Notamacropus eugenii: one gene and its partners. The main gene of each other region encodes a partner of the protein of the gene in region 3 in a complex. Links are inferred from orthologs where the notes say so. Each region holds a gene or a part of one and is shown on either strand. Other genes may lie near its edges.

Evidence for each region.
Region 1: POLE3 (region 3) and POLE share a complex: the UniProt entries of both Homo sapiens proteins name them as parts of the DNA polymerase epsilon complex. The link is inferred for Notamacropus eugenii from reciprocal best matches to the Homo sapiens genes POLE3 and POLE.
Region 2: POLE3 (region 3) and CHRAC1 share a complex: the UniProt entries of both Homo sapiens proteins name them as parts of the CHRAC ISWI chromatin remodeling complex. The link is inferred for Notamacropus eugenii from reciprocal best matches to the Homo sapiens genes POLE3 and CHRAC1.
Region 4: POLE3 (region 3) and POLE4 share a complex: the UniProt entries of both Homo sapiens proteins name them as parts of the DNA polymerase epsilon complex. The link is inferred for Notamacropus eugenii from reciprocal best matches to the Homo sapiens genes POLE3 and POLE4.

Annotation. Positions count from the first base shown.
Region 1 is NC_092875.1:50,692,894-50,700,308, reverse strand, and holds the start of POLE (DNA polymerase epsilon catalytic subunit A), read right to left. Parts: upstream 3,022-7,415; 5' UTR 3,000-3,021; coding exon 2,938-2,999; intron 1-2,937. Other genes in the region: PXMP2 (peroxisomal membrane protein 2), read left to right, coding at 3,392-3,525. UniProt on the Homo sapiens protein: Catalytic component of the DNA polymerase epsilon complex. Participates in chromosomal DNA replication.
Region 2 is NC_092875.1:95,898,273-95,905,964, forward strand, and holds the start of CHRAC1 (chromatin accessibility complex protein 1), read right to left. Parts: upstream 3,001-7,692; 5' UTR 2,592-3,000; coding exon 2,445-2,591; intron 1-2,444. UniProt on the Homo sapiens protein: Forms a complex with DNA polymerase epsilon subunit POLE3 and binds naked DNA, which is then incorporated into chromatin, aided by the nucleosome remodeling activity of ISWI/SNF2H and ACF1.
Region 3 is NC_092872.1:478,313,213-478,320,807, reverse strand, and holds the start of POLE3 (DNA polymerase epsilon subunit 3), read right to left. Parts: upstream 3,002-7,595; 5' UTR 2,959-3,001; coding exon of another isoform or gene 2,916-2,958; 5' UTR 2,915-2,915; coding exon of another isoform or gene 2,604-2,914; 5' UTR 2,341-2,603; coding exon 2,275-2,340; intron 2,188-2,274; coding exon 2,102-2,187; intron 849-2,101; coding exon 730-848; intron 559-729; coding exon 386-558; 3' UTR 1-385. UniProt on the Homo sapiens protein: Accessory component of the DNA polymerase epsilon complex. Participates in DNA repair and in chromosomal DNA replication.
Region 4 is NC_092872.1:630,210,068-630,217,044, forward strand, and holds the start of POLE4 (DNA polymerase epsilon subunit 4), read right to left. Parts: upstream 3,011-6,977; 5' UTR 2,964-3,010; coding exon 2,721-2,963; intron 1-2,720. UniProt on the Homo sapiens protein: Accessory component of the DNA polymerase epsilon complex. Participates in DNA repair and in chromosomal DNA replication.

The DNA of each region.
Region 1 (7,415 bases), on a different chromosome or scaffold from region 3:
TATGGAAGAACTGTGCCTTAGGAAGATGGGAGGCATTAGGTAGGACAACTTGGACGGATTAGGGAAGAGACTGATGACAGGTAACTAAGAGTCTACAGTAAAAGCCCAAGAAAAAGGTAACAACAGCCTCAAAACAACAAACATTTATTAAGCATAAGAAAAAGACGTGATCCTCTAAGAGTTTATAATATACTATGGTAACTAAGACACATAAACAAGTTAACAACATAAGGTAAAGCAAGATCAGTGCAACAGACAGCTTCAGACAAAATGCTATGAGAAATCTGAGAGGTAAAGAACAAAAAGTCTCATAGTTCGAGAGGACCTGAGACCATCCAGGTTCAACTTATCCAACAATAGGAATCCCTTCTATAAAATCCTTAACAGATAGTCATCCAGCCCTGTTTGAATCAAGCAAGCAAATACACATTAAACAGCAATTATATGGTGGACAATGGGCTAAAATACAAAGACAAAAGAAAAACAGTCGCTTCCATCAAATTTACATTCTAACATGCCAAAAACATATATGGGAATATGCAAAACACATATTTAGCAGAGAGAGACAAGATAACCTTGGAGGGGAAGGCACAAGCTAAGAGAACAGCTTAAGCAAGAGGAGGTCCTTAAGCCAAGTCCTGAAAGAATTTCAAGAGGCAAAGGTGAAGAGATAAAGCACTCCAGGCAGAGGAAACTGACAGTGCAAAAGCATGGAGACAGGAGATGGTGTGTCATGTGTAAAAAGTGCAGAGGGAAGTAATTATAAGTAAGGCCAGAAAGATGGAGGGAGCTTTAAACATCAAACAAAGAAGTTTATATTTGATCCTGTAGGTAATAGGGGAATTTACTGAGTACGGAGTTGAAACGAAAATCAGACAACCACCTTGGAAGCTGAGTGGAAGATGGACTAGAATGGAGAGACTTAAGCAGGGTGATCAATTTATAAGCTATTGCAACAGCTAAGGCAAAAAATGATGGCAGTCTGCACTGGGGTAGTCTAGGCTGTGAATAGAGAGATTTTGCGGAGAAAGCAACTGATTAATGATGAGTAAGAGTAAGGAGTCCAGGTCAATGTGGAAGGTGTGAAACTTGATGATTGGGGCAACGGTGGTGGTCTCAACAATAAAAGAGAAGTTTGAAGAGGGCTGGCTTGGAGGACAGTTGGAAGACAATAGTCCGGTCCTGTCCTGTCTTAGACACCTTGAGTTTCCATTTCAATTGCTCTGTAGTCTTGCCTAAATTTCTGCAGCTGATTATTTAAATAAAACATTACTTTTTGAGTGGGAGGGATGTGCAGAGAAGAATTCAGGAAAAGCTTCCTGAAAAAGGTGACCTCAAAGTTAAGCCTATAGCCAAGGCATGGAGAGGAGAAAGGAAAAGGTTAGGTAAGGTTATCAGGTGAATTGATCTAAATGAGGACTGGGAGAGGGGAAGGACTACCTCAAACACCCCTCTCCCCTTTGTCATCAATTATCCCACAACTCTACCATCTCCCACCCCGACCACTAGAAAAGGACCAGGACCTTGCCATTTGTTCTCTAGCAATAGCTTGTCCCTGTTCTCCTCCTGCTTAAGGACTGATAATCAAATCAACATTACCACTACTACTGTGAAGACAGTACTGGTGTGACAAGCTACTGTCCTATAGATTCAGTTTGAATTCCCGTGATTCTGAGTTGTAGGCTGATACCAACTGTGGAGAGTCCAGAAGAAGGACTGGACTGCACCAGTAGCAGGACTGGAAAGGACAGAAGCAAGAGATAGTTCAGAGGAAGATTACGAAGATCTTGCAATGAGGAGTCAGGGGCAAGTTTGTAGGCAGTTAGAAAGCAACCAACAGGCAAGGAGAGTGAGGATAATTAGAGGGGAAAATTTTCAGTAGAAAGGTGGACTAGGATCACTTGTGAAACAGAAGGGTGTGGCTTGGCAAGAATGACCATCTTTTTCTCACACAAGGAGACAGTGGAGAAAGGCATTTGGGTGATATAAGATGAGGAGGAAAGGAAAAGAGGGAACTCTTGGGGAAAGGGTTTCCATTTTTTTTTACCAGTAAACTATGAGTCTGTTTTCAGCTAAGAAGGGAGGGGGAAAGGAAATCAGGAAAAGGGTTGGAAGAACCTCTGTGGTGAGTTAATTCGGGAGGTGTAAAAGGGTTACTTGGCAGCAAGGCCGGCCTGGTTGAAATTAGGTAACATAAATTTGTAGTGGACCCTGTCAGCATCGGCTTCACGATTTTTCCCAATATTCAACAGTCAGATGAAACAGGTAGGTAGAAAGGGATCAGGAAAGACATGAAAAGATCACGGGTAACTTCAAGGGGTGAGGCTGAAAGCCAGAAAGAAGAGGATTTAGGAGAACTGAAGCAGGAGGAGCCGGAATGATGACTATGATGAGTTCAGTGTTCGGTCGGACCCCCAGCTGGAAAGGTCCGGCAAGCAGGTGGACGCGACAACGGGAAGGTCGGTATGGAAGAGGGAAAATACTGTCTAAAAATGCTGGAGAGCAGATCTGAGAATGATGGGCACGCAGGTATCGAAGGTAAAGAAGCAAGTGAAGGCACGGAGGAAAGGCCGCACACGGGGGTATGGGGGGACAGGGAAGTAACCGGAGGCAGCGCGGCCTCCGGGGAAGGGATGGGAGCGCAGAAGGCCGTGGGTGGTCAGCGCGGGCACCAGCGGGCACGGCCGCTGGGCACGGCCGCTGGGCACGGCGGATTCCAGGGGCTCGGCGCGGGGTGGCTCTGGGGTCTCAGCATTTGGGGGTGCACCGACGGCCCAGGGGGAGCTGAGGCCGGCAAGGCTGGGGTGGAGAGCGGCCCTCAGGGCCCTGGGAGGGACCCTGCGGAGGAGATGGGGGCGCTCAAGGAAGCCTTGGGGGAGGGGAGGCGGGACAGAGGCGGCTCTGAGGCCTCGGGGCCGGCGGGGTCGCAGGTCTCACCGACTGTTCTCGGCCTCCTCCCCGGGCTCGGCGCGCTTCCACCCGCGCTCCCGGGACACCATCTCGGGCCAGCCGCCGCCACTCTCACTCCGCCGCTCTCCTCAGGGGCGTCCTCCGTTCCCGGGAGAAATTTCGCGCGTTCCGGCCCCAAATCTCGCGAGAGCGCAGCTCAGCTCCACCCACCCCCGCCTCTCTGGAAGAGCACCCAATCAGGAGCAGGAACCGCCACGCCCCGTGGTCCTCCAATGGTTACGCGGCCCGCCCGGGAGAGGAGGGAAAGGCTTAGGGAGCCGGGAAAAACTCCGGGCTTCGTGCGCCTGGCTGCACTAGGTGCCCCCCAGCGCCGCGCCGCGCGGCGCCCCAGGGCTAGAAATGTAGGGCCGTCCCCTCCCTTTGCCCTAGAGCCGAGGTCGCGCCCAGACTCGGAACTGTGCTGGCTTTCAGCCGATGGCTGATGGCTCCGGTGGTGTCCACGTTGCGGGCCGGGCCTGGGGCCGGGGCCCGGGCCAGGCCGCTCCCCCAGCGGGTGCTGGAGCAGTATCTGCTGTTGCTGCGTCTCTACCCGGTGCTCACCAAGGCTGCCACTAGGTCCGGCCGGGGCGCGATCGGGAGATAAGGATCTAGGGACAGGGATTTGGGGAGAGCCTGGGTGGGGGGGAGATCTGGGGAAAGAGATCTGGGAAGAGCTATTGGGGGCGGGGGGGAATCAGAGGAAAGGGATCAGACGAGAAGAATCTGGGGAGCTCCATGAGGGAGGGGGAATCAGGTGAAATAGATCTGGGAAGAGCTATTTAGGGTGGAAGATCAGAGGAAAGGGATCTGGAAAGAACCACACGCGGGGGGCGGAGGGGAAAGGGATTTGATTTGGGAAGAGCCATTGGAAGAAAGGATTCAGGGAGCGAAATCTAGGGAAAGGGTTCTAGGGGAAAGAGTCAGAGGAGAGAATTCAAGGAAAAAGGATCAGAGGAGAAAACAAAATCCAGAGTGATCCAGGGAAAAGGTTCTGAGAGGAGTGATCTGGAGAAAAGATCAGGGGAAGAATGATCTAGGAAAAGGGATCAGAGAAGAGTGATCCGGAGAAAAGATCAGGGGAGAGCGATCTAGGAAAAGGGATCAGAGGAGAGCGATCTGGTGAAAAGATCAGGAAAGAACGATCTGGGGAAAGATCAGGAGACAATGATCTGGAAAAAAGATCAGGAAAGAGTGATCTGTGGAAAAGATCAGGGGAAAGCGATCTAGGAACAGGGATCGGAGGAGAGTGATCTAGGTGAAAAGATCAGGAGAGAGTGATCTGGGGAGAAGATCAGGGGACAGTGATCTAGGGGAAAGGATCAGAGAAGAGTGATCTGGGTGAAAAGATCAGGAGAGTGATCTGTGGGAAAGAGATCAGGGGAAAGTGATATGGAGAACAGATCAGAGAACGACCTAGGGAAAGGGATCAGAGGAAAGTGATGAGAACAAGGATCGGGGAAGACCTAAGAGGAAGGATGAGGGGTGAGAGATTTTGGAAGGAGAATGAGAGAAGAAATCTGAGGAGAAGGGTCAGAAAGGGTATCAACAAAGGGCAGTTATTTGGGGGAGGATGGGGAGTGGACTAAGAGAGAACAAATTAGGGAAGGGGGGCTGGGAAGAGGGGAATCAAGGAAAGGGATGGGAAAAGGGTTCTGCAGACAGTGATGCAAGGTAAAGGGATGGGAGTCAGTCTGGAGAGAAGGATCTAGAGAAAGAACAGGGGAGACAGATCGGAGAAGGAGAATAGAAGTCTGTTAAAAGAAACGGCTGGGACTGGACATCAGTGCGAAGAGGTCAGGGGATCTGGGGAGAGGGACTGGGAGATTAGGGATGATGGAGGAGGGAACTGAGAGATTGGGGATGAAGGAGGGGAACAGGGAAGAAGGATGGAGGAATAAGGATAGAGGAATGGAATGAGGGAGGTGCGTGGGAGCGTGGGAAAGGTACTGGAGTGGGGGTATAGGTTGGAGGAGCTAGGGGAGAGCGAGGGTGGGGAAAGGAAGCAGGAGAGCGAGGACGGGGGACTGGAGCTGGAGAGCGGGGATGCGGGCGGGGATTGCACCAGCGGGAATGGTGGAGATCGAGCGAGCGGGCACGGGGGAAAGGCACCCGCGAAAGGGGAAGCCGAAAGGGAGTGCGGGAGCGGGGAAGAGGGAGTGGAGTCGGGGAGAGGACTGGGATCTTGGTGTTGGATGAAGATGTCTGGGAAGGAGAATCGGACTGGGAGAGGAGATTGGGAGGGAGGAGCTGGGGAGTCAGAAGAGAGGGAGAGGAGGGGAGGTGGGGCTGAGGGAATTGAGAGGGGGAGCGGGGATGAGGGAGCCGACTGCGAATGCTGGGAGGGAGAAGCGACCCATGGGAACGGGATAGGGGAATTGGGATGGAGCGGGGAGGAGGGAGAGAATGATCGAAGGAGCTGAGACGGGAGGGTGTAGTGGGAGAGAAAGACGGAGGAGTGGGGTGGTCGGGGGAGAGAGGAGGGGACTGCGGGTGAGGGATCCCGGTAATGGTGATGGAAAAGGGGATAGAGGGAATGGGGCAGTGAGCATGGGAGAGGGGACTGGGTGAATAGGGAAGAAACAGGTGTGGAGGTGCAAGTGGAATCCGAGGTGACGGGGGAGACTGCAGAAAAAGTATCCGAGTTTGGAGGAAGAAGAGGGGGGCTGGAGGAGAGGGCTCGAGAGAAGAGAGGCAGAGAGGGAGACTGGCAAAGGGGAGGTGGAAGAGGGGACAGAAGTATGGGGGAGGAAGGAGAGGTCTGAGAAAAGGAGATGGGGAGAGTTAGGATGGGGGAAGGTGACGGCAAAGCGGGCTCGGAAGAATTGGGATGGAGGGGAGGATCAGGAGAGAGAGATCCGGAGGATGGGGATGGAGGGAGGGACCACGGGAGCGGGGATGGAGAAGGGGATCGGGGGAACAGGCATGGAGGAGGGGCTTGGGGGAAGGGGATCAGGGGAGGAAGGGTGGAAGAGGGAATCGGAGAGGGACCTAGGTAAAGCGAGATTGGAGAGGAGAGAGGGTCAGAGAAATCGGAAAAGGGGTCAGGAGTGTAGGATCTAGGGGATGGAGCTGGAGAAACGGGTGCCGTGATGAGAAAGAGGACCAGGCGCAGGGGAAGGGGCCGGGGGCGTGGGGCCTGGATCTGTGACCCGAGCCGGAGGGTACTGATCTGCACCTGTTTGGTGGGGAGAGGGGCTAGGCAGGAAGGGGGGTAGGGGGTGGGGCCGAGGTTGGGGGAGGGGAGGTGGGGGGAAAGGGGTGGGGTAGAGGGGTGGGAAGAGAGTGCTGTAGGGAGAGATTGGGAAACCTTTCTCTATAACATTCCAATTAAGTTGGGGCACGCGCCGCTGTTTCTCTGGTTACCTCCCAGTGACCAGGAAACCCCTTCTGTCGTAGGCGGAGCGTCAGAGCAAAGCTCCGCCTTCTGCCCCCGCCCCCCTGCCCACCTCCCTGGAATGCCACCTCCCCCGCCCCCACCGTCCCCGACTCCCTGAGAAGCTGCAGCTGGAGGGGTCAGGCTTGTGGACTGCGGCACGCTGGTGGTTTCTGGATTTGTTTGGGGGTTGTTGTAAATTAGTCTTGTAGCTGCAGGGGACCCTTGGCTAAGGCAGATTGAGGGCTCCGGGGGAGGGACCTGAAAGCTTCTTTTCCCATCTCCTGCCCTCCCTCTTTGGCTCCTCTTTGATTTTGGAAGTAGGGGAAGTTGAAATACCAGGGGACCGGGCGAAGGCACAGCCGCGTGACTGCAGGCTTCCCCTTGGCCCTCAAGCCCCCTCCCCTCTTCATTCCCGTTTTCTCTCAGCTATTCAGCACCAGGCTAGGGTCTTTCTGTTTGGGCTACTTTTCCTCTAGTGGCAGCTTTTTTTGCAAAGCATGCCCATGCTAGCTGCCTTCTCTTTGCACCTACCAGACAAGGCTCTAATTTCCAAATCACTTTTCTGGTTTAAGCTCTAGCACTCAAGTGGCATTCACTTCAGTACAGTAGCCAGACCAGCTCTTGTCTCCTCACTTTTGTCTCCAAAATATATCTTGCATCTGTCACCGTCCTCCACTGACCCTACAACCAGTCTTGTTTAGGTCCTCATCAGCTCCCTTCTGGACTGTTGTGATAGACTCCCAACCTTGGCCTCCTTGTCTCTGACATTTCTACAGAACACATCTGACTTGCTCAGCAGCCTGGTGTAGTGGGTAGACTGGTAGTGTGGCCAAAGAGTGGGGAAGACCAGGGTTCACTTCTGATATGTACTGGAGGTATATGATCCTGGGCAAATAAGTCATTTAATCTCTCAGTGGTCCAGGCAGCTCTCCAAAACCTGTTGGGAAACAGGTGCTGATCCACATTGCTTGCAGGGCTTTCCTGAGAGGGTTTTCTCCATCACAGACATCACAGGTCTGTTCATAGAAAAAGAAGCAACCACAATACCCTTATTGTTCAAAAAGCCTCCATAGCTCTCTATGCCTCCAGG
Region 2 (7,692 bases), on a different chromosome or scaffold from region 3:
CAGGAGGCACAAGGACATAACATTGTACTTATCAGTTTGATGTTGAGAGAAGGGTAGCAAATGGTCTTTCTACAAAAATTTATTTTAGATTTAGTACTTTTAGCAATTATTATCAATGATTGACTAAATATAGGGCAATGAATCAGAAATTCAGTCAATGATAAATTACCTAAAGTAATGGAAGAGAAAAGTAATGTCAATTATCCAAAAAAAAAAAATCACATTTGCCTCTAGAGATGCAATTTTTTTTACCTTCCATTTGAATATGGGCATATCTGAAGTTCTGGTAATTCACACCACTGCAAACCAGATAATGAAGCCAATGAGTTGGGAGTCGTAAAGCTGGCCAGACTTCTCGCTCCCAGCTCAACTCCTCCATGCTGAGGATAGACAAAAATATCTCTTAAACTGATGCAAAGCACCAGCCTGAACTGTGCTGCATTCCCCCAAAGTTTGGCTTGTCTAGCCCATACTTTCTCAATCAAGGAGGTAATTAAGGAGGTTTTGGCTTTAAAAGCTAGTAGCCTAATAAAAGTAAGGACCTCCAAAGCTCTCCTGTTTTGCAGCTGCTGCTGGATTGAGGTCATATCAACAAAGAAGCTGGAAAAAGTCTAACCCAAGCCTGGTTGGTAAGGCCTTAAAGAATAAAGTGAATAAACTGTATAACTATCTTAAGAAATGACAGTAATAGGACAAAATGAAACAAGAACCCATTAGCAATGACAAGCTCCAACCAAGAATACCACAAGTAGGCTAAGAATCAACTGGGAGACAGACTTTAGTTTAGGAAAAAAAAAAAAAGATACTATGTCAAGAAGCATAAAGCACTGTGAAACCTACATTATTCAACACTAGTCAAGTATTTAGCGTTTAGTTTTGAAAACCACTAAAAGGAAAGAGTTCAGAGGAGAAAAAGGGATCATTAAAGGTGAGATACATTTTAAGGAAGATTAAAACTATCAGGTTTAGCCAAAATGTTTAGCAATCACTGCACACAAAATTCCTACAATTCTTTCTCCTTGTATACCCAGAAAATGTAATTACAGCAGCAGGGATGTGGACATTGGAGCATCATCTTAAACCTACAAATTGTCAGACCTTGATACGTTAATAAAGGCAGTTGCAGAGGATAATAGTATTTTTAAGTTAAATTGGGGGTACAGCTCTTCAGGGTAAACATAAGGATAGGATTGCCAGTGAGAGTGTGGATTACAAATATAGCTTATAGCTGTGTGACTCTCGGTAAGTCACTTCTACTTGCCTCAGTTTCCTCAATGTGTAAAACACGAATAACAACACCACCTACCTCTCAGGGTTGTTGTGAGGACAAAATTAGGTAATATTTGTTAAGAGCTTGCAACTCTTAAAATTTTATATAAATGCTAATCACCTCACTATGTCCACTAGAGTGTCACTGCTTTTTTATTCCAGCCATAAAGACCGTCTCTGTTCAAAATCACCGAAAAGGGCATTCTTTCTCTTAATTTTACAATTCAGATTTGTTCTCTAGATTCATTGCGTCCTGATGAGAGCCTCGGAATAGAACTTATAAGGAGACATGACACAGCTGCAGTGGATCACATTGCATTTGGCCAGGAGAGTCAAGGGCACTTCCAACCAGGGCTGAGAAAGAGCAAAACTTTAAACCTGAGATCTCAGCAGGTAAAGGTCACTCCCCCCCCGCCCCGCCCCAAAAGAAAACTGAAAACAAACAAAAAATAACTCCAGGATGGATGAAGGCAGGCTGAATTTTTGGAAAGCGTTTACCTTAAAACCCCATTACCCTCTGCAAATTTCCCTTACCGACCTATGTCAATTTCTACCCAACACCTTTGTGCTTAAGGTGATCTTCCTCTGTACTAAATCCCTCCTGCGGTAATTCAGTTGGGTGGAAGCAGTGCAAGGAGAACCCGCCCTCGCAACTTTGTATCAAATGGTTTCCACCAGACACGCTGGGAAATATTTTGAACGCAGAACTTCTCCTCGGCTTGGCAGCCTCGTTTCCCCTGCGTTTGCCACACACCCTCCCCAGGGTAGCGTCTTTAGGGGGGCTCCACGCTGCTCTACTGCAACACCAGCTGGGATCCCCTGGGATTCACAGCTCTGCACCCACACAGAGTCAACAAAAGACTGAAAACTCCGGGGACCGCCACGCGGGATGGTTCTCTGCCAAGGCTCCGCCCTCTCCGAGTCTCATTGGACGTCCTTTTTTTTAAAAAAAAAAATTTTTTTTTTTAAAGAGCATCCCTTCCAATGACAGCGGGTCAGAGGCACGGGATAGGCGCTCGTGCTCGCGCTCGCGCCGTCAGGCAGCGCGTGCGCGCGGAGCTGCCGCCGTGGCTCCCAGGGGGCGGCGCGCGAGATGCGGCCGTTGGGGGGGCAGTCTAGACACCGCCTCCTTTCCCCCTCCCCCCTCGCTTCCTCTCTTCTCTCCCCTGACTCACCGTGGCCTTGGCCGTGAGCACCAGCGCCTCCTGATTGATGCTGGACACCTCCGGGGAGCTCTTCATGATCACCCGAATGCGAGACAAGGGTAGCGAGACCAGCCTCTGGTCGCCACATTTCTCTTTGCCGCCAAACCCGTCCGCCATCTTGCTGCCCCCGCCCTGGCAGCAGTGGTAGAAATCGCGCGGCCGCCACTACTCCTGCTGCTGCCGCCGCTGCCGCTGCCGCGGCCGCCGCGGCCTCCGCCCCTTCCGAGATATCAGTTTGACAAATAAAGTTCATTGACAGGGAGTCTTGCGGGCCTGTTGCCTTATGGGAAGCGTAGTTCTCTAGAGACGGGGCCCCTGGCCCCAGCAAAGGGCGGGCTCGAGGGAGGTGACCGCATATCCCATGAAGCTCCGCGCGCCGTTGCTCTCGTGGCTACGGTGAAGGCAGGAGACGGTAGGATCCGCGTGGGTGGTTTGATACCCGAGTCCACGCTTCTCTTGGTGCGGGTAGTCGGGGTCCAAATTTACGTCTAATAATCAGCTCCGGACGTCAGACATCTGCACGTCTGAGAGGCCTGACGTAGGGTCTGTCGTCGTCTTAGTCATCCTCATCTGATTTCCCCCAGCTGTATGTAGCAGCTGCAGGTGTGCCATCTTCAGTGACCGAACACATCAGACTACCACTTCTGCCTTGGAAAAGGACTTTAGAAGCCAGCCAAATGTTAATTCAGAAAAGAACAAAACCAAGCATCCAGGCAAAGTCCCAGACCCATTTTTGTATTATCTTAAGAGCATTTGTTTTGTAAGAATTTCATAATATTTAGTGTTCGGAAGGAGGAGAAACTGGGGCCCAAAGAAAAATGATTTACCCAAGTCATCAAAAAACCTCTCGATCGTCTCTCCTCCCTTTTAAAAGTGGCTAAACTTAAGAATTACAGTCTACAAGCGGTTCCTTCACTTCCTGTTACCCTCTACAATTTTGGACCTCAACATTTAAGTGAAACCGCTTTCCCCAAAGTTACTGATGATCTCTTAATTGCCAAATCTAATGGCTTTTTGTCAATCCTCATTTTTTTTTTGACTTCTCTGGAGCCTTTGACGTGGTCAGTCACACTGTTCTTGATTCAGTCCTCTCTGAGTTATCATGGCTCTACTCTCACAGGATTCTCCCACATAATCTGGTCTATCCTTCTCTCCTTCATTATGGCTTTTCACTTAGGTCAGAGTCTACTGGCCTGGGATGTCCCACTGGACTCTGTCCTGGGCCCTGTTCCTTATACTGTTTCACTTAGTGAGCTTCTCAGCTTCTGTGAATTCAATTATCATATCTATGCTGAGGATTCTCGAATCCACTTGCCTTTGCTTACCTGTACTATCTCATTTCTAACTGCCTACTGGACGTTTGTAACTGGATGTCAAGTGGACATCTTAAACTCCACGTGTCCAAAATTGAACTAATTATCCCCCCTCCAAAAAAACGTTCCTTCTTCCTAAGTTTCCTGTTACTGTTGCAATTTTGTTTGTAAGATCTGTTCATTTTACCCTTGCAAACATCTCTCACACATCCTGCTATAGGCCTTTATCACCTTATGCATGGACTATTTATACACTAACCTGCAGATTGGTCTCCTTACCATCAGTGTCCCCATTCAAGTCCATTCTCCACTGTCAAAGTGACCTATCTAAAGTCTGACCATGTGACCACCCCTGCTTCACCCCCTCCAAACTTTCAGTAAAGTCTACTAGCTCTCTATCACCTCCAGGATCAAATATATAAAATACTTAGGCATTTGAAATCCTTCATAACCAGGTCCTTCTCTAGCTTTCCAGTCTTCTTACATTTTGTGCTCCTCACCCTTCACTGTACTCCTTGATCCAGTAAAACTGACCTCCTCGAATTCACTCAAGACATTTATCTCTGCATTTTGGTTGTCCTCCATACCTAGAATCTTTCCTCATCTCTATCTCCTGGCATCCTTAAAATCTCAACTAAAATCCTACCTGTTGAAGGAAGCCTTTCCCAATCTCCCATAATTCTGGTGTCTCTCCTGTTGATTATTTCAATTTGTCCTGTGTTTAGCTTGTTTGTACATGGCTGTTTGCATGTTGTTACCCCCATTAGACCTTGACAGCAGGATCTGTCTTTTGTCTTTCTTTGTATCCCTAGTCCTTCCCACCGTGCCTGGTAAATGGTGGGTGTGTAGTAAATGTTTGTTGACTGGCTGGCAAAAGGAGAGAGCAGAAAAACCAAGACTGGAATATTCTCCACTGAACGTGCTGACAGAGAAGGTAACACCTGGTGCAGACAAATTTCCCCTATCCTATTCCTATCAATTGATACCTTCTTAGTCTGAGCTGATACAGAGTGACTAGCAGTTAATTTAAAAGCCCACATCTGTAACTGCTATGTCTCTCGATGACACCCGTTACATGGCCCTTTAAGGTTTACAAAGAATTTTTCTCATAACAAATTAAACAAATATTTATTAGTGCAAGTGTTATTATTCCCTCTTTATAGATTTTTTTTTTAAATTGAGACTTAGACTACTTGCCCATGAAAGATTACAGAGTTTAGAAGACTTAAGCCAACACTCCAAACCCAGGACTTTCTGCTACACCAAAGGAGCCTTACAGATAGACTAACAAACGTCCTCAGGACAAATACTTATACAAGTTGCCATTGATAGATACATAATAATAACCCACACATAAAAATGCTTTACTTTTTGCAAAGTTCTTTGCAACATTGTACCGGGTCTCTGACCGACTAAGTCTACCATTTTTTCCATTAGGTTACATTGTTAATGGAAAGAATAACAATATCATGAAAGGGTGGTCCTTGAAGGCAGAAAATGTGACAATGGGGAACTTAAAAAATTGACATGTTTATTGAAGAGTCTGTGGTCATTTTTGAGAACAATCCGTAAGGCTGAAAGGGATCCCCAGCCAAGAAGTTATCATTCAGTCTCTGCTTGATTTTTTTCATCTATTAAAGTAAAATCCCCTGTAGACCAAAGAGAATCAAAAGATCTAGTCTACTTAATCCAAAATTTACCTAGCCACAAATAGTGCACCCTGTGCAGAGATTCAGAAGAAGTGGATTACATAATTCCTCCTCTTGATAACTTTGCAGTACAGTGGGAAAGCCAGAATCAAATTATAAAATTGAACATTAACCAAAAAAAAAAAAAAAAGAAACCTCACACAAAGCAATATAAGGTAATAACAGCACATACATATTGCTTTAAGGTTTTGTATTTATCTCTTTTGATTCCCACAACAACCCTAAGGGATAAACGCTATTATTATCCTTATTTTACAGATGAGGTGTCTGAGTCTGAGAGGTATATGTGGCTTGTCCAGAGTCACACAGCTAGTAAGAGTCTGGGACAGAATTCAAACACAAGTCTTCCTAATTCCTATTCCTGTGTTCTATGAGCTATGCCGCTGACTGCCTGGCTTACAGAAGAAAAAAAAGTATTGAATATGATCTTAAAGAAGAGGGAGGACATAACTAGGTACTTGCCAAGTCCTGTCAATTCTACATCTGTAGACCGAGTTGTTGTTTAGTCATGTCCAACTCTTTGTGACCACATGGACTTGTCTATGGAATTTTCCTTGGCAAAGATGTTGGAGTTGTTTGCCATTTTCTTCTACGGTATTGTCCCCATTTTACAGATGAGGAACTGAGGCGAATAGGGTTAAGTGACTTGTCCAGAGTCACGCCATTAGTAAGTGGTTGTGTCCAGATTGCAAATCAGATGTTTCCTGAGTCCAGGCCCAGTGTACCACCTAGCTGCCTGTCAATTTTGAGCCTTCTGAAAGCTGCCCCAGGTGCAAGGCACCTGAAGCATTTACTCAGTGAGGGCTCATGAGCCCTCACTATTAAGTCAACCAGAAGATACATTAGTAGAAAGCAAAAGATATTTAATGAAACAAAATAACAGAATAGGTAAGGAACATTTCTCACGTATTTTCCTCCCACGGATTTGTACAAGTTACCTCCATATTTCTCTATTGTGAATTCAGTCCCCATTACCTTCCATTTTCCTCCTTGCACTATGAGAAAGAGACCTAGGCAGTTTTCAAGTTGTATCAATTCCCTAATAGACCTTCTTCCTGTCCATTGTGGGATCATGGAAGATTACGGGAAACCTTTCTTCAGCTCTCAGTGTACTCTGAAAATCTCAGAATTGGAAAAGCTTTGAGACTAGCATAAGAAATTCTCTGGACAGACATCACAAGTGAGGAGCAAAGCATCCTAGTGCTAATTAATTCTACCAGGGATGGACTACACCATCATGACCTGGCAACTTCAGGAGCAGCTTTCTGGAGAAGGAACCTAGCACTAAACCTTGCCACCAGTGCTGGCAATAATTAGATATATTCATGAAACCCTAATCTTTCTGTACTTTCTATTTCTACCTCCCAGCTCTTCTCAAAATCTCCCACACTCAAGACAGACCCCTAGTACTTCAAGTTCAGGAACTTCTCCTAATCAGCATAACTCTCTGGGCCCCAAAGCATTATGGAGGATATAGTCTGGATAAAACAGGGAGTCTGCCTACTCGAACAAGCTCCTTATATTCCATGGTATCTCTTGCATCCTTCATCTTCTCCCCGTTCCCAGTCACTACTCTATTTCAAAAGACAGGGAATTAGGAGGCAATCACAAATTATTTAAAGAGATTTCTGTCTCCTATCTCTCCCCCTATCAAGTCCATCCTTTACACAGCTGCCAACAGAATCTTCCTAAAATGTAGATCTGACCCCTCCTCTGCTAAACCAATTCTCTCATGTTATGGTTTCGATTTCTTGAAGAATCTGCCTTAAGACCAACATTATTTAAAGTATTTTTATTAGTCATTTTTTTGTCAATTGGGAATAAAGTTAGCCAGTGACACTCACTTCAGTGGGCTTTTCATACATATTTAAAAGCTTTACAGAAACCCGTTGGTAGACTGTGTAGTAATCCATTCAAAACCTCCATGCAATGTATTTGCCAGAGCAGAAGATGTTACAAACAGAGCCAAAGGTTTTGGAAGACCCCAAGCTGCTTCAGGGGGTAGGCAGCTGGACTGTGTAGATAGTTAAAAGAGGCAGCCAGAGCGAGGAGAAGAAAAAGGTGGCCTCTTCAGAGAAAGCTAAAAAGACCTGAGGCTCTCATTTAATCACACCCCTCTTGTTCTTTCTCCACTGCTCCTTCCTCCACCTCCTCCCCCTCCCACCCCATCACCAAGGCAACTTGGGCAGGCCTGAA
Region 3 (7,595 bases):
TCATGCTCAGAGTTCAAACATCTCCAATTTTCAGCTGCCTCTACACCCTCTAAATAATAGCTAGTATGAAATGTGGGTCATAAAACAGGAAGTGAAATATATGAATCTTCTACATTTTTTCCCACAAAAATTTGATTAAATGGCAGTTCATAACCTACCTTGTCAAAAGGTCAGTTTATAAACTATGAAAATGAAATTGGAAAGATCTCATTCAGAAAAACTCTGGTTTGGGGATTATTCAAGAAGTATTCCTAGGTCCTCATATGGAGGCATTCTTAGCAGTGGAGGAAAAGGCCACAGAATTCTCTGTCAAACAGTACAATGGAGGCAACAGTGCTGAACCCCAAGTTTCTTATCATCTGACTCCACATTCTCTCCATGAAGCTCAATTGTCAACCTCTTCTTCATCATTCTGCTCCTCTTCTTCCATTCTTTCATCATCCTCATCATTATCATCTTCCCTGCTCTTGTCTTGCTCCTCAGAATCCGTTCTTTTGTCTTTATCCTTCTTTTTTTGCTCTGAAGCTTCCTTCTTACCTTTCTGTTCACGTCTATATGCTAGAAATAGAAGAAAGCTATAAGGCAAGGCTAAGGGCTTGGAGACAGGTTCAAATGAAGACACATCTATATATATACAATACTGTATTTAAGTTCATCTGGTTAAATTACATGACCATCACTTTACAAGGAGCTATGTCTACCCGCCCAATAAAATACACCAGTTGTTACCATCTAGTGCTTCTTTCAAAGGGGAAATGAATCGCTGAAATTCCATCTCTTCCATTGCTGATAGCACATCACCAGCATTTAGGGTCTTTCGTTTTCCTTTCATTGCAAAGTTGTTTGCACTTAGAAAAAAAAAGAGAGATGAATTATCTTGGCCATGTCTTACTTCAAGACATTTAAAGACAATTAACAGGTACATGTAAGCAAATCTGATTGCCTGACCAAGCCCACATCTAGGGAGACTACCTGTAGTCTCAAACTTTAACCTGTAATTACAAATCCCAATTACTCTAGTCTGGTAAAGAAAGAGAAGTGTGAAAAATACCAGATGCAGCCCTCTTAAACCATGTGAAGCTTGAAGGGCTACCTACTTCAAAGATGATGTAGCAGGGAGCACATCATAAATATTTGCTCTTATTATTACTGACCATCTTTTCACCTCCTTATTTTACTAATAAAGACATAGAAACTGAAGCCTAAAGAGAAGCTGACCTTTGAGATCAGACTAGTGGCTCTCTCCTAAAATCAATTCAGAGGGTCCATGAAGTCAACCTTATTTTCATAACACTACATTCAAATTTTCAATACAGTAAACACTGATAGGGATACTTTGCTCCTACAGAGGACTGGGGGTGGCTAAGCTCATTTCCTGAGGGAGGCAACATAGCATAATGGAAGGAGTACTAGCGCTGGACTAAGAGTAAGGAGAGTCCTAATTCTGTTAATTGGTTGTGGGACCTTCAGCAAATCTTTTCATCACCAAGTTTCTGTGAGATCAACTTCAGAATGAAGCTGTACTTAAGTTCAAGTTCAAGTCAACACATTTCCTAAGTGTCTTAAATGTGTAAGACTGAGCTAGGTGCTAAGAGAGAGGCTGTCACTGGACCTATTATGAGTTCATTGGTATACGGTACTCTCAGTGGAGGAAAACTTTCTCTAGAAAGCAAGTCCACCCCTTCTCTGAAACTTTATTTTAGAGAGCTGCTTAGGGCACTAGGAGAGATTAAATGACTTGTCGAGAGTCCCACTGCTAAGTTATGGGTCAGAGGCAGGACCTGAACCCAGGTCTTCCTGATTTCTGACTTTCTCTCCAGGTATAAGCCAAGAAGCTTTTGGGGATACAAAATCCAACAGAAAACCGTCCCTGCCCTCAAAGAGCTTACATTTCTACGGTGGAAATACTAAATGCGGACACATATATACAAAAAAATAACCTGATGGGGGTAACTAGGGGAAGGACGGAGAAGCTTCTTGGACGAGGGCTGGGGATTTAGGGGAGGTACGTGGAGGACACCCGGGAAGGGGGGCCCGACAGCCCCGGGTCAGGAAGGGCAAGCAGCCCCGCCGGGGATCTGCCGCGGCCCGAGGCTCTCACCAGGACGTGGCGTACAGCACGAACACGCTGGCAGCCCGAGAGATGGCACTCCGGGCCTCTTTGGAGATGTTGACGCCGTCGGGGAGCTGCAAGGGGAGACGGCCCCCGAGTTAGTGGGGTGGCCCCGGCCCCCGCCCCGGCCCGGCCCCCGCCCCGGCCTCGGCCCCGCTCACCGCCTCCTTGATGATCCTGGTGATGACGGCGTTGGGAAGGTTCAGGTCCTCCGGACGTTCCGCCATGGCCACCGCGCCTCTCGTCTGCCCCGGGACAGCCGCAACCACGCCGCCGCCGCCGGCCTCCGAGACAAGGCGGCAGTTGCGGCCCGGACCTCCGCCGGCCGCGTCGCTCACCCAGGTCGCCTCTCCGGCGTCCGTACTTCCCGCCCCGGAGCGCGTGTCCCGCCTGGGCTTCCGTTCGTACGCCCGCCTCCCAGCCCCAGCGCGTTCCACGCCCTCCCGGAGAGGCGCCGGCCTCGTGCGTTCACGCCTGGAGACTTCCCCCGATGAGTTTCGGCCAATCCAAGGCCCGCCTGGCCGGGTCTGGAAACCGGAGAGCCCCGCCCTTCCCGGCGGTCCCCCAGGGTGCAGCGCGCGGTTGCCTAGAGACTCTTTTAATCCTGTCAGGGTCGCTCCGACGTAGAGGAGGCTGGCTTAGCCTAGGTCTCAGTCGGGCGGGGTGGCTTGGTCCGTGCTGCCGTTCCTCTGCGGCTCTCCGAGGGCAGGGATCCCCTGCGAGCTGCGCTTCCGCCTCCCTCCTCGTGGGGCGTCCTCCGCGCCTCCCCTCCAGCCTTCGCCCTTGGCGGTGCTCGCTGACCGGGGTGCTGCTTCATCCTGACTCCCGGTCTCTGCCTTGTGCCTGCCCCGACCTCCCTCTCCGCCGTTCTGTTCCTCCCTGTGCCCCGCCTGATCCGCACCGTCCTGGGTCTCTTTCCTCCCCAGCCCTGTCCCACCCCGCCTCCGCTGTGCCGTCCTCTGAAGCCTGCCCTGACCCCCCCCCCCCCCCTCCCCGAGCATCCCATGTCCCGCACGCCCCGCACTTCTCCATCTTACTGCAGCCTGCCTCCTGGCTTGCGTTGCCTTTTTGAGACCTTGCCTGGCATTTGCTTGGTGCAGGGAGCTCTCGGTGAGGACCGTCCTCTCCCGGGGCAGAGCTGTGATTTCTCTGCAGTTTATCCTCTTAGTTACCCAGAGTCCTGCAGCCTCCGTGTCGGAGGCAGGGTTGGAGTCCAGGCGGTGTGGACTCTTAAGCCGGCTTTCTGTTTGTTCACTCTCTGCCCTTGCTGCTCCCCTCCTCCTTTGGTCTGATCTTCCCAAGGTTCCGGAATCTTTTCGTCTTTAAGCTTGTCTGACTCCCTGATTTTCTCCTTTCTTAGAAGAATCTCAGGACTAGGCTTCTGCTTCCTTTAACTGTAGAAAAATTTCCACTGGAGACTTTTTTTTACTTTTTTTTAGATATTTTAAGTAATACACAATTATTAGTAGCACACACCATTATGGATAGTATATTAACAAGCTTGTGTGGTGAGGAAAAATGAAATGACATATGTGAAAGTGTTGAAAAATAGAACATGTCGTATAAATGCAAGATAATGACTTATTAGGATTTGGAATTGGAAGGGAATTTATAGATCACTCTTTGACCCCTTCATTTTGTATATGAGAAAACTGAAGTGGAAAGAGTGGAAATTGCTTGTCCAAGGTCACAGAATTAATAAATAGTGAACTCCATCTTCAAACCCAGGTCGCCTGACTCCACATCCAGTGTTATTTTCACTACCCCTTGTTTATCTGCCGCTGTATCAGTATTGTATCAGTTTGGTGGCTGTTTGCGGTAGGGAGTAGACACTTTTTAATTTCACTAATGATTTTTGGATCATCTGCTCCTTTGGTCTCCATTCTAACGCATCTTTTTTTGAGGCGACATAGATATTCACAATCAAATTAAGATGTGGGCTACACGTTGCCATGCAGATATAACTAATGATACTGTGTCATATTCCCTAGCTTATTTAATTCTTGTTTCCGTAGATGGCTAATGATCTTGAGGTTGGTTTCTGCTGTAAATCTGTGATAAATATCGAATTGCCAGATGTCAGTCAATGGGATGAGACTACCTGTCCACAACTTGTTTGCCAGCATCCACAATGTTGGGCAACAGTCCGAAGGCTTCAGAGGGGTCATCCTCGAATTCTTCAACCAATTTCCAGAGCTCCTAAGAAAAGTGAAGGTGAACTGACAATACCCTTTCATATTTGTCCAAAGACCCATATATGTGGTATATTTGGCTTCCTTTCTGACTAGTTTTTAATATGGTCTGCATTTCTAGATGAACTGCCAACTCTAAAGATAATAGATTTATCTTTACCTGATTCTTCCATTTTGGCCAAGAGAATCGCTGATTCAGCCCCGTTTTTCAAGCATCCTTGTTCTTTGACTGGAGACTCTAAATTTGATTCGGATTTACAAAGCAGGTGACTCATCATGAAAACACCAGAAACCATGTGTCTCAGGATCCCAGGTGGTTATTTTTTAGAGCCATGCCCCAGAATTTGCCATGCCAGGTTAAGAAACAGTGAGCCTACCATGGGAAGAACTATTTCTCACTAACAAAATGAAGTGGTGAGTTGATATCGAGGCAAGAGAAAGAAATATTTCCCTTTTTTGGGTTCCAATAGAAATGCTAAACTGAAGTGTATCTGGACAATTGCTTCAAATAGGTTAAGAATTTTCAAGATGTTAATTATTTGGATTAATTACTTCATGCTTGAAACTATATTGTAAGCTCTGGGAGACAGAGAGGTGGTTTTTGCTTTCTTGGATGTAACATTGTAACTGGCACATAGTTAACTAGGTGCACAATAAACACTTGAAAGTGAATTTTCTTGGAGTCAAAGTATGGGTGTTGGGCCTTTTGATATACTTCATAGTGATTAGTTTTTCCTGCTCAGTGGTGCCTGGTGGGCTCTAGGAGATAGGGTAAAATTAAGGAAAGGATAAGATGGCTTTCAGGTTCTCTAAGATTTGAGCTTTGGAGAAAAGAATGGAATGCTGCTTCTCCCACTGTGTGAAGGTGGACATGTGGTTGGCATGCATTCACACTTTTCTCTTGGACTAAAGCTATAGTGCAGAGTTGACAGGGAACTGCTATATCAAGTCAATCTTGTCAATTCAGCTGTATTAATGTATGTCTTATCTATCCCTTGCTTTCCATTTCTATGGCAGCTGTATTAGTTCAGACCCACAGGGCACCAACTCATGCCTGGACTGTGGGAATAACTTTTTAATTGGTCTCTGCCTTTTTTCAGTCCATTTTGTACACGTAGACTAGATTGATTTTCTTAAAACACTAATTAGCATGTCTTGCCTCCAACTAAAATTTTTCACAGGCTTCTTAGCACTTACAGAATAAAGCCAAAACTTGAGTTTGTCATTCCAGGCTCTTCACTCCATTTCCACTTTATCTTCTACTGTTTTCCTACCTGAACCTTACTCTTTAGCTCAGCTAGTGTACCCATTGTTCTCTGATCACGCAATTCTGATTTTCACCTCAGTGCCTTCAATTATATTGTTTATACTACTTGGCGTGTGTCCTCCTAGGCCTCTCAGCTTATTTGTATGCTATCCTTTTAACAGCTATAACTGCAAATTGTATTTATTGCTTTGAGACTTACAAAGCCCTTTCTTTAGGTCAAACCTATGAGGGAGGTATTTTAAATATTCCCATTTTATATATGAGGGCACCTGAGGCTGAGAAAAGGGAAGTACTTTGCCCATGGTTACAAATCCAGTAAGTGAGCTGTGACCTGAATCCAGATCTCCTGAGTCCAGTTTGACGTTCTCTCCATCTTCCTGAACTGACTTTCTAGACCCAGTTCTCTAGTCTCCATGAAATCTAACCAGATTGTTTTCTTTTATGAGTGACTGTCTTGCCATTTCCTCAGAACTCCTGTAGCAGCTAGGTGGAATGGTGCATAGAGGGCCTGGAGTCAGGAAGATGTATCTTCTTGAGCTCAAATCTGGCCTCAGACACTAGCCCTATAACCCTTAAGTAAGTCATTTAATGCAGTTTGCCTCAGTTTCCTCATCTGTATCATGAACTAGAGAAGAAAATGGCAAACCACTCCAATATCTCTGCCAAGAAAACCCCAAATGAGGTCATGAAGTTGTATATGACTTAAAATAACTGAACAACTACTCACTATATAGCTAACACATTCTGCCTTTGATTTATCACGTACATTTCCTATCCCAGCTAGAATAAGTCTCTTGAGGATAGGGACTGCATCTTATACTTCTGTGCCCTATATGTAGGAAAGGTTCCACATCCACACCTGTCTGTTGGTCACGCTACATTTCTTTGCTACTGGATTAGGAAGCAGAGATTATTAAAAAGGGAAACTATAAAATACTGAGGTATTATGTAGAAGTGTTACTGCTATAAGCATGAGGAAGGTTGTTCCTCCAAGATCTTCCCTGCACTAGCCTTTATTTTCCTCTCGCTTTCTCTAATAACTTTTATGTCTGTTTCAGTTTGGAAGAACCACATTTATTAGGACTCAAATCTCTGAGAGGTTTCCATGGTCAGGGTTTTCCCCAGAAGTCTAGAAAACCTGCCAAAGTAAGTCACAAAGAAAAATAATCCACAGATGTAGCATGTATAGTATGTCTCTCCAGCTGAACTGCATAGCACAGAATAAAATGTGTTGCCTCTGGTTAACACCCTATATTCTTGTGTGGGCCGTTAGGTGGCGCCATAGTGCATAGAGTGCTGGAACTGAAGTCAGGAAAACTCATTTTCCTGAGTTCAAATTTGGACACTTAATTAGCTGCGTGACCCTGGGCAAGTCACTTAACCCTGTTTACATCAGTTTCCTCATCTGTAAAATGAGCCGGAGAAAGAAATGGCAAATCACTCCAGTATCTTTGCCAGGAAAACTCCAAATGGGGTCATGAAGAGTTGGACATGACTGAACAACAATATTATTGGGTAGTATCTTGTTTCATGACCAAAGAGAGCCCTGACCCCTGAGGTATACAGATAACTTGGGGAGATCGTTGATAAGAAGAAATATATATGCATATACACATGTATATGCATATATATGTAAAGTTATTAAATTATTGCTAAACAGGGCCCAGGGCAGTTGCCCTGGGCTGAGAGAGGACTTGATGATTTGGGAGCAATGAAATGGAAATACCTCTCTAACTCTCTAGTCAAACAAAAGGAGGAGATTTGCAGCTTCCTTAGTTTAGTTTATAGTATCCAATGGGATACTATAACACACACATATGCACATACCACATACCACATAGGGTTTCAGATCCCAGGAGTGGTGGACAGGTTGCAAAGAGAACATAGCACATTGCATTTGCTTCCCTGATTGTCTGCATAGGTCTAGAGTTGTCTCAACCCCTGCTCTTGGGGATAAGTCCTGGGGAGGATGGGCAGTATAATTGGTCTTCATGGAAGGAAGCTGATAATCTTGTCCACAGAA
Region 4 (6,977 bases), about 150 Mb from region 3:
TCAAGCCCCCAATCATACACATAACCTCAGCATTTACAACAGGTAACAGCTTTCTACTTTACTGAGAAGATTAAGGCTATCAAATGGGTTGTTGTCCAATTGTTTCAGTCATGTCTGACTCTTCGTGACCCCATTTGGGGTTTTCTTGGCAAAGATACTGGACTGGTTTGCCATTTCCTTCCCCAGCTCATTTTACAGATGAGGAAACTAAGGCAAACAGGGTGTGGCGACTTGTCCAGGGTCACATAGCTAGTAAGTGTCTGAGGCCAGATTTGAATTCACAAAGATGAGTCTTCCTGACTTCAGTCCCATCACTCCATCCGTTGTGCGACCTAGGTGCCCTATGACATTGGAGTGCCTTTAAATTCCCTCTATTACTCCTCAAAGCTTCTGAGCATCAGCACCCATTCTATCTTCCTCCCCTTCATTTTCAAAGGAAGATATATTTATTTTTTTACTAAGGCTAGTCTTCTAGCCAGTGGACTTGATCCCATAACCTCCTGCCTCTAGGACCTTATTCTCGAAATCATTCCTTCTCTCTCATGGATTTTCAATATCTCCCTTTCCACACATACTCCCCAATCCTAGAAAGCTTTCCCTTGACCCTTCTATCCCATCTAGCTACTGCATTATCTTTTCATCCCTTCAAAGTCAGACTTGATCCTCCTGCAATCTGGCTTCCAACCACAGTATTCTATTAAAACTGCTCTCTCAAAGGCCATCAATGTCCTTGACCTCTCTGAAGGATACAGCACTGATTGACACCTTTCCTATATAAATCCCTTTTCCTCTTCCTTTAGTTTCAGAAACACCACTGTCCTGGTTTTCCTACTTCTCTAGCCACTCTTTTGTCTCCTTCCTGGCTCCTCAATCTCTTCTCAGCTCTTTGAGGTATGGAAAGGGAGAGAGGAGGGTGCCTGATGAGGTTTTGCGCTTAGCCTTCATCTTGATATGCTTTCTCTTTTGGCAATCTCATTTACTCCTATAGAATTTCAGAGATTAGGTAAGTCACAACTTTTGAATGCCAGAAGTAACATACTTGAAGAGTACTAATTGTAGAAAAGTTGCTGATAGAGTAAATATCCTCAGCAGAAGTTCCCTATATGAATGAAATCAGAAATGCCAAAAAAAACTTTTTTAAGAGAGTGGTGGTAAAGGGCGAGAAACAAGGAACTATTCTTGGCCCTAGAGATACCGACTTAAGAAAATTAACAGTCCCTTCCTTTAAGGAGCTTATAACTTACCAGAGACTATAGCATGAATACTACTAAGTATATAAAGTAAATACAGAGTAAGATATCCCCACAAGTACTCATCCAGTCTCTCTGGGAGAGCTCCCAAGGGGCAGAGCCTAATACTTCTTGAAGTAGTCCATTCCACTTTGCACAGCTCTAAAACTGGTAAGTTATTCGTCACCTCAAGTCTAAATTTGCATCGTTGAAATTTCTACCTTTTGCTCCTAGTTTAGATCCCTGGGGCCAAAGAGAACCCCTGATCCCTCTTCCATGTGACAGTCATTCAAATACTTTATGATAATTATCACATCTCCCACATGTACACCTTCTCTTCTCTAGACTAAACCTCTCCAATTCCTTCAAATAATTTTCACTGGACATTAACTTGAAACCACTCAGCATCCAAGGTGTCCTCCTTTGGATTCTCTAATTTGTCATTGTCCTTCCTTAAAAAGTGGCACCTAAAACAACTTATTTTGGAGAAGGAAATGGCAAACCACTCCAGTATCTCTGCCAAGAAAACCTTAAATGGGGTCACAGAGTCAGACACAACTGAAAATGACCGAGAAACAGAATTTAGCAGTATAGCTATCATAGAAAAATCCCAAATTGATCATCTCTACCCTTCATTTCTCTCCCAGCCTCTGGTGTCTACAAATAAGATCTTTTTCAGATCTAAAACCTGTAAATTGCCCAAGGGACATCTGCCCCTGAGTGTCCCGACAGCTGCTCAAAAGCAACATGCACAAAACTGGAATGACATCTTAACTCTAAAATCTGCTCCTCCTTCCAATTTCACTGTTCCTATCAAAACCTTGGTGTTATCCATCTTTAATTCTTCCCTGTCCCTCACCTTCCGCATCCAATCAGCTACCAAGTCCTGTGCACTTAATCTTACACAGCCCCCGTTACCACCACCCTAGATTGTTACTCTAGGTCTTTCCCCTTAAGCTCTCCTCCTTCACACTGCCATCAGATTCATCTCCCTTATCATGGAACACAGACCACAGTCAGGGAATTAGAAGTCACTGAGAGTGGATAGGGGAGGAACTGGTCCTGGAGTCAGAGAACCCAGGTGCAAGTCCCAGCTCTGCTGCTTCCCACCTGCACGATCTGGGGAAAGTCTTTCCACCTCCCTGTGCCTCAGTTTCCTCTCCTGCGAAATGAGAGGATTAGAGCAGATGGCTCCTGAGGTCTTCTCCAGCTCTAGAAGTGCAGGAGCCCTCCTCATTTTACAGATGAGGAAACTGAGGCTCAAAGAAATCTAAGTGATTTACCCAGGATGGCACGGCTAAAAAGCGTCTGATGTGATTTTTAGACCCAGGTTTTCCTAAAAGGTTTTGCACCAAGTTTGTCCATGGATCTCCCCGACGCAGCTGGTTAGGCCCCGCCCCCAGCTCCACCCACTTCCACTAAGTCCCTCCCAGCCCCGCCCCTAGCTCGCCAGGCCCCACCCCCAGCTCGCCAGGTCCCGCCCGCGCGCACCGCGGCGCGAGCCAGGATGAAGATGGCTTCCTGGCCCGCGAGTGTCACGTCTGGGTCCGCCTTCACCAGCGCCTTCACCCGCGCCAGGGGCAACCGCGACAAGCGGGGTGCGGCCGACACCGCCGGGGCCTGCGGAGGAGGGGCCGCCGCCGGCGCTGCCTCTCCACTGGGGCCCTCCTCCGCCACTGGCGCAGCCGTCGGGCCGATCGACCCCGCCGCCGTGGCCGCCGCCGCCGCCGCCATCCCGAGCCCCTGTGCGTGCCGCGTGCGCGTTCCTCTAGCCGGGGCGCGAGCGCGCGGGCGCCTGTCCTTTTCCCGCCCTGGATCCCCTCTGGCCCCGCCCCTTCTTGCCGCGTGTCAGCTCCAGCCCAGCCCCTACCACCTCCAGGGGAGCGGCTGGGCTGCATTACCGTATTTACTGGTGGCAGTGGCCGAATCCTCCTCCAGTCGCTTTTTCTGTCTTATCGTCCTGGCCCACCTTGAGGATCAGCCCACCGCAGGACGCCTGGGTTTCTCAACCATTTACGAAAATTCAGCCGTCTGCGCTAAATGCTGAGTTTAGATCCCAGGCTGAAACCTGAAAGGGTCCACTTCCTTGTTTATTCATTCATTAAACCCCAGTTGGCACAGGGGGAAACTGAGGCCCGGACTAGGGGAAATGATGTTCAAGGTCACATAGCAAGTCAGCGTCGGGGGAAAGATTTAGAGCAAGGCCCTTTCCACCGCACCGAATTGCCCGACAAAACAACGCCCTTGCCCTCCTGGAGCTCACGGCTCTGGTAGAGGGTCGAGAAATAAAAGTCAATTGTTTTTAACTGTACGTAAGGGCATGGGATAGGTTCTAAACAAAGTGCTGTGTGAGATGCCAGCGCCAGGTCGGTGGGGAGGGTCGGAAGGTTCAGGGAAGACTTGCTGTATGGTCTGGCCTTAAAGGAACTAAAGTAAGGATACATTGTTTCCAGGCTCGGTGAAACTTTCCACAAGTGCCCAGCTCAGGTTCTCCACCCTACGGAGTGACTGTGTGTCAATCCAAACCCTCTGAGCTTCTGCCCAGTGCGGAGGTCTGCATGGAGAGAAAACCATGTGGCCATCAGGAAGCCCATGAGACAGGTTCTACACAACACCTGGAAATCTTTCAACCAGCCCAAAGAAATTAAGCGCCAATGGAGCCCCTTGGGTGCTGAGCAAACAGAGAAAGTGGTGACCCTGCAGGAAATGAATTTTGAGGAATGTCTTCTTTCATCTCTTAGACCTTCCCACTGTTACAAATTTCCTTTCCTGTTTCTATCTCCCGCTGATGGGCTGCTTGGGTGCTTGTGCTTGGACCCCAATTCCAAGATCACATTTCTCCCTAGCTTCAAAACGTTATCCCTCACGGTTTTCTCTCCAACCCAAGGACACTATGCCTAGCAAGAACTCATGAGTGGGTCGCAGTAAGACGAACTATTTCCCCCCACAATTACTCATGAGTGGACTCCAGTAAAACAATCTTTCCCCATCACAAGAACAAGTTGACCTCTGAAGAAATTCTCTTGTAAAAACAGGACTATCTTGTAATCACAGAATTATCATGTATCAATCCCAAAGTTATTATATTCAATCCACAGGTCAAACTACACACATCAATTCTCAAAGCTATCTTACTAGAGAGTAACAGACCAAAAATACATTCCTGAGAAACCCCTTCCCCTGGTTTCCAGTAGTGGATGACCACAGTTATAAGTTGTAAATTGGCCTATGATAAAGGTTGTAAATTATCACCTAATTAGCATATCTGCCAGATAATCCACTACTTTTCCTATGTAAACTTTAGCATCATTCATGCTAAATTGCAAGTTTCTTAGGGAATACAGGTTCCCTAAAGGACTCTGCCCAAAGCATTACAATAAACCTTTGTCACCTTGACTTAAAGAATGCTTGAGTCCAAGAATTCATTACAGACAACCCTTTCCTGCACTTCAGTCCTTAGGGGGGAGGGGGTGGTCCCTAAACCTCTTAAACCTGCCGCCACCTTCTTTTGTTCTTTTCATTGTCCTTTAATTTAGCATGGTTTAGGGGTGCAAGCACTAGATATAAAGTCAGAGGACCTGGATTCAATTTCTGGCTCTACTGTTTGCTGTCTTTGTGACCTCAGAAAAGTCTCTGGGTCTTAGTTTCCCCTCTGGATAGAACTGCTTTGTAGGCACAAGAATTCTCAGGATATACAACACCTGAGGGTTTACCTCTATTAACATCAACAGGAAATCATACCTTCACAAAACTTATGTGAAAACTAGGTTTATTACAAGAAGAATGAACATGCATATGAAAATCAAAGCAAGAGCAAACAATTCGCAGTCCTTACAAAAGTTTTCATTTTGATAATATAAGGCCAAAGGGAGGAGGTGATACCAGGAAGGGGAGTGACATGGAGAGGGCCATGACATCAGGAAGGTGAACTTAGCCGTATTGTAAAAATGTAAGAAGTTCTGTGATGATATGCTTTATGAGTATTGAGGAAATAATGTTACTGTCTCAAAATTTTCATTAACATCTTCCATATTTTTTTGATCTGTTGCATATTTATAAGGTCAGCCACAAACTAGAGGTATTTTTTTCAGTGCAGGCTTCTTTATTGCAATAAATGACTTTTTTTCTTTTAAATTTCTTTGCTGTACTGAAAACAAAGAGGTCAAGGCCGTTAGAACACCCAGCCCTTAAAGGCTATAGTCTCATAGCATCAAGCCTCAGATGGTCCCCGGCACTTCCCAGATCCGTTTTTCACATAGCCCAGGGATCAGGATATTCAAGTAAGTAAATGACCCATAGGGAATTATTATTTAACTCATCTTCAATCAGTAGAGTTCAATCAGTAAAGCAGATATCCAAGGCATAGATTTAGAGCTGGGGGGGACCGTAGAGTCAATAGTCCATAAACATTTTTGTTGTTCAGTAGTTTCCAACTCTTGCAACCCCTTGGACACCAGACCCTTCTGTCCTCCGCTGTCTCTTGAAGTGTGTCCAAGTTTGTATTCATTGCTTCAGTGACATTATCTATCTCATCCTCTGCCCTCCCCTTTTCTTTTTGTCTTCAATCTTTCCCAATATCAGAGTCTTTTTCCATGAGTCCCATTGTCTCATCATGTGGCCAAAATATTTCAGTTTCAGTGTTTGACCTTCCAATGAATAACCTTTAAATGTTGATTGATTTGATCTCTTTGCTGTTGCAGGGACTCTCAAAAGTCTTCTCCAGCACCATGATTGGAAAACATCAATTCTGCGGAGCTCAGCTTTCCTTATAGTCCAGCTCTCACAGCTATATGTTACTACTGGAAATATCATGGCTTTGACTAATAGGCCTCTGTCAACAAGGTGATGTCTCTGCTTTTTAGTATACTGTCCAGATTTTCCATAGCTTTCCTTTCAAGGAGCAAGCATGTTTTAATTCCATTGTTGCAGTCACTGATTGCAATGATTTTTGAGCCCAAGAATATAAAATCTGACACTGATTCCATTTCTTCTCCCTCTATTTGCCAGAAACTGATGGGACCAGTTGCCAAGATCTTAGGGATTTGGGGTGTTGTGTGTGTGTGTGTGTGTGTGTGTGTGTGTGTGTGTGTGTGTGTGTTAAACTTTAAGCCAGCTTTTACACTCTCCTCTTTCACTCTTATCAAGAGGTATCTTAATTCATCTTCACTTTCTGCTATTAGGCTGGTATAATCTGAATATCTGAGATTGTTGCTATTTCTCCTGGCAACCTTAATACTGGTTTTTGATTCATACAGCCTAATATTTCACTTGACATATTCTGCATATAAGTTAAATAAATAAAGTGACAATATAAATCCTTGTCAAACTCCTTTTCTAATCTTAAAACCAACCAGTTGTTCCATGTTCAGTTCTACCTTGCTTCTTGGCCCACATATAGGTTCCTCAGGAGATAAGTAAGATGATCTGGTTCTTACATCTCTTTGAGGACTTCCCACATTTTGTTGTGATCCACACAAAGGCTTTAGTGTAATCAATGAAGCAGAAGATATTTTTCTGGAAATCCCTTACTTTCTCCATAATCCAGTGAATGCTGCAATTGATCTCTAATTCCTTTGCTTCTTTGAAAACCAGCCCGCTCTTGCCCAGTATCGTATTGGATACTTTCTGACCTAAGAGGCCAGATGTCATCTCTTTTATCTTAGTACTGTCCATGGGGTTTTCTTGGCAAAGATCCTGGAGTGGTTGACCATTCCCTTCTCCAGTGCATTGCCTGATGTCAGAACTTTC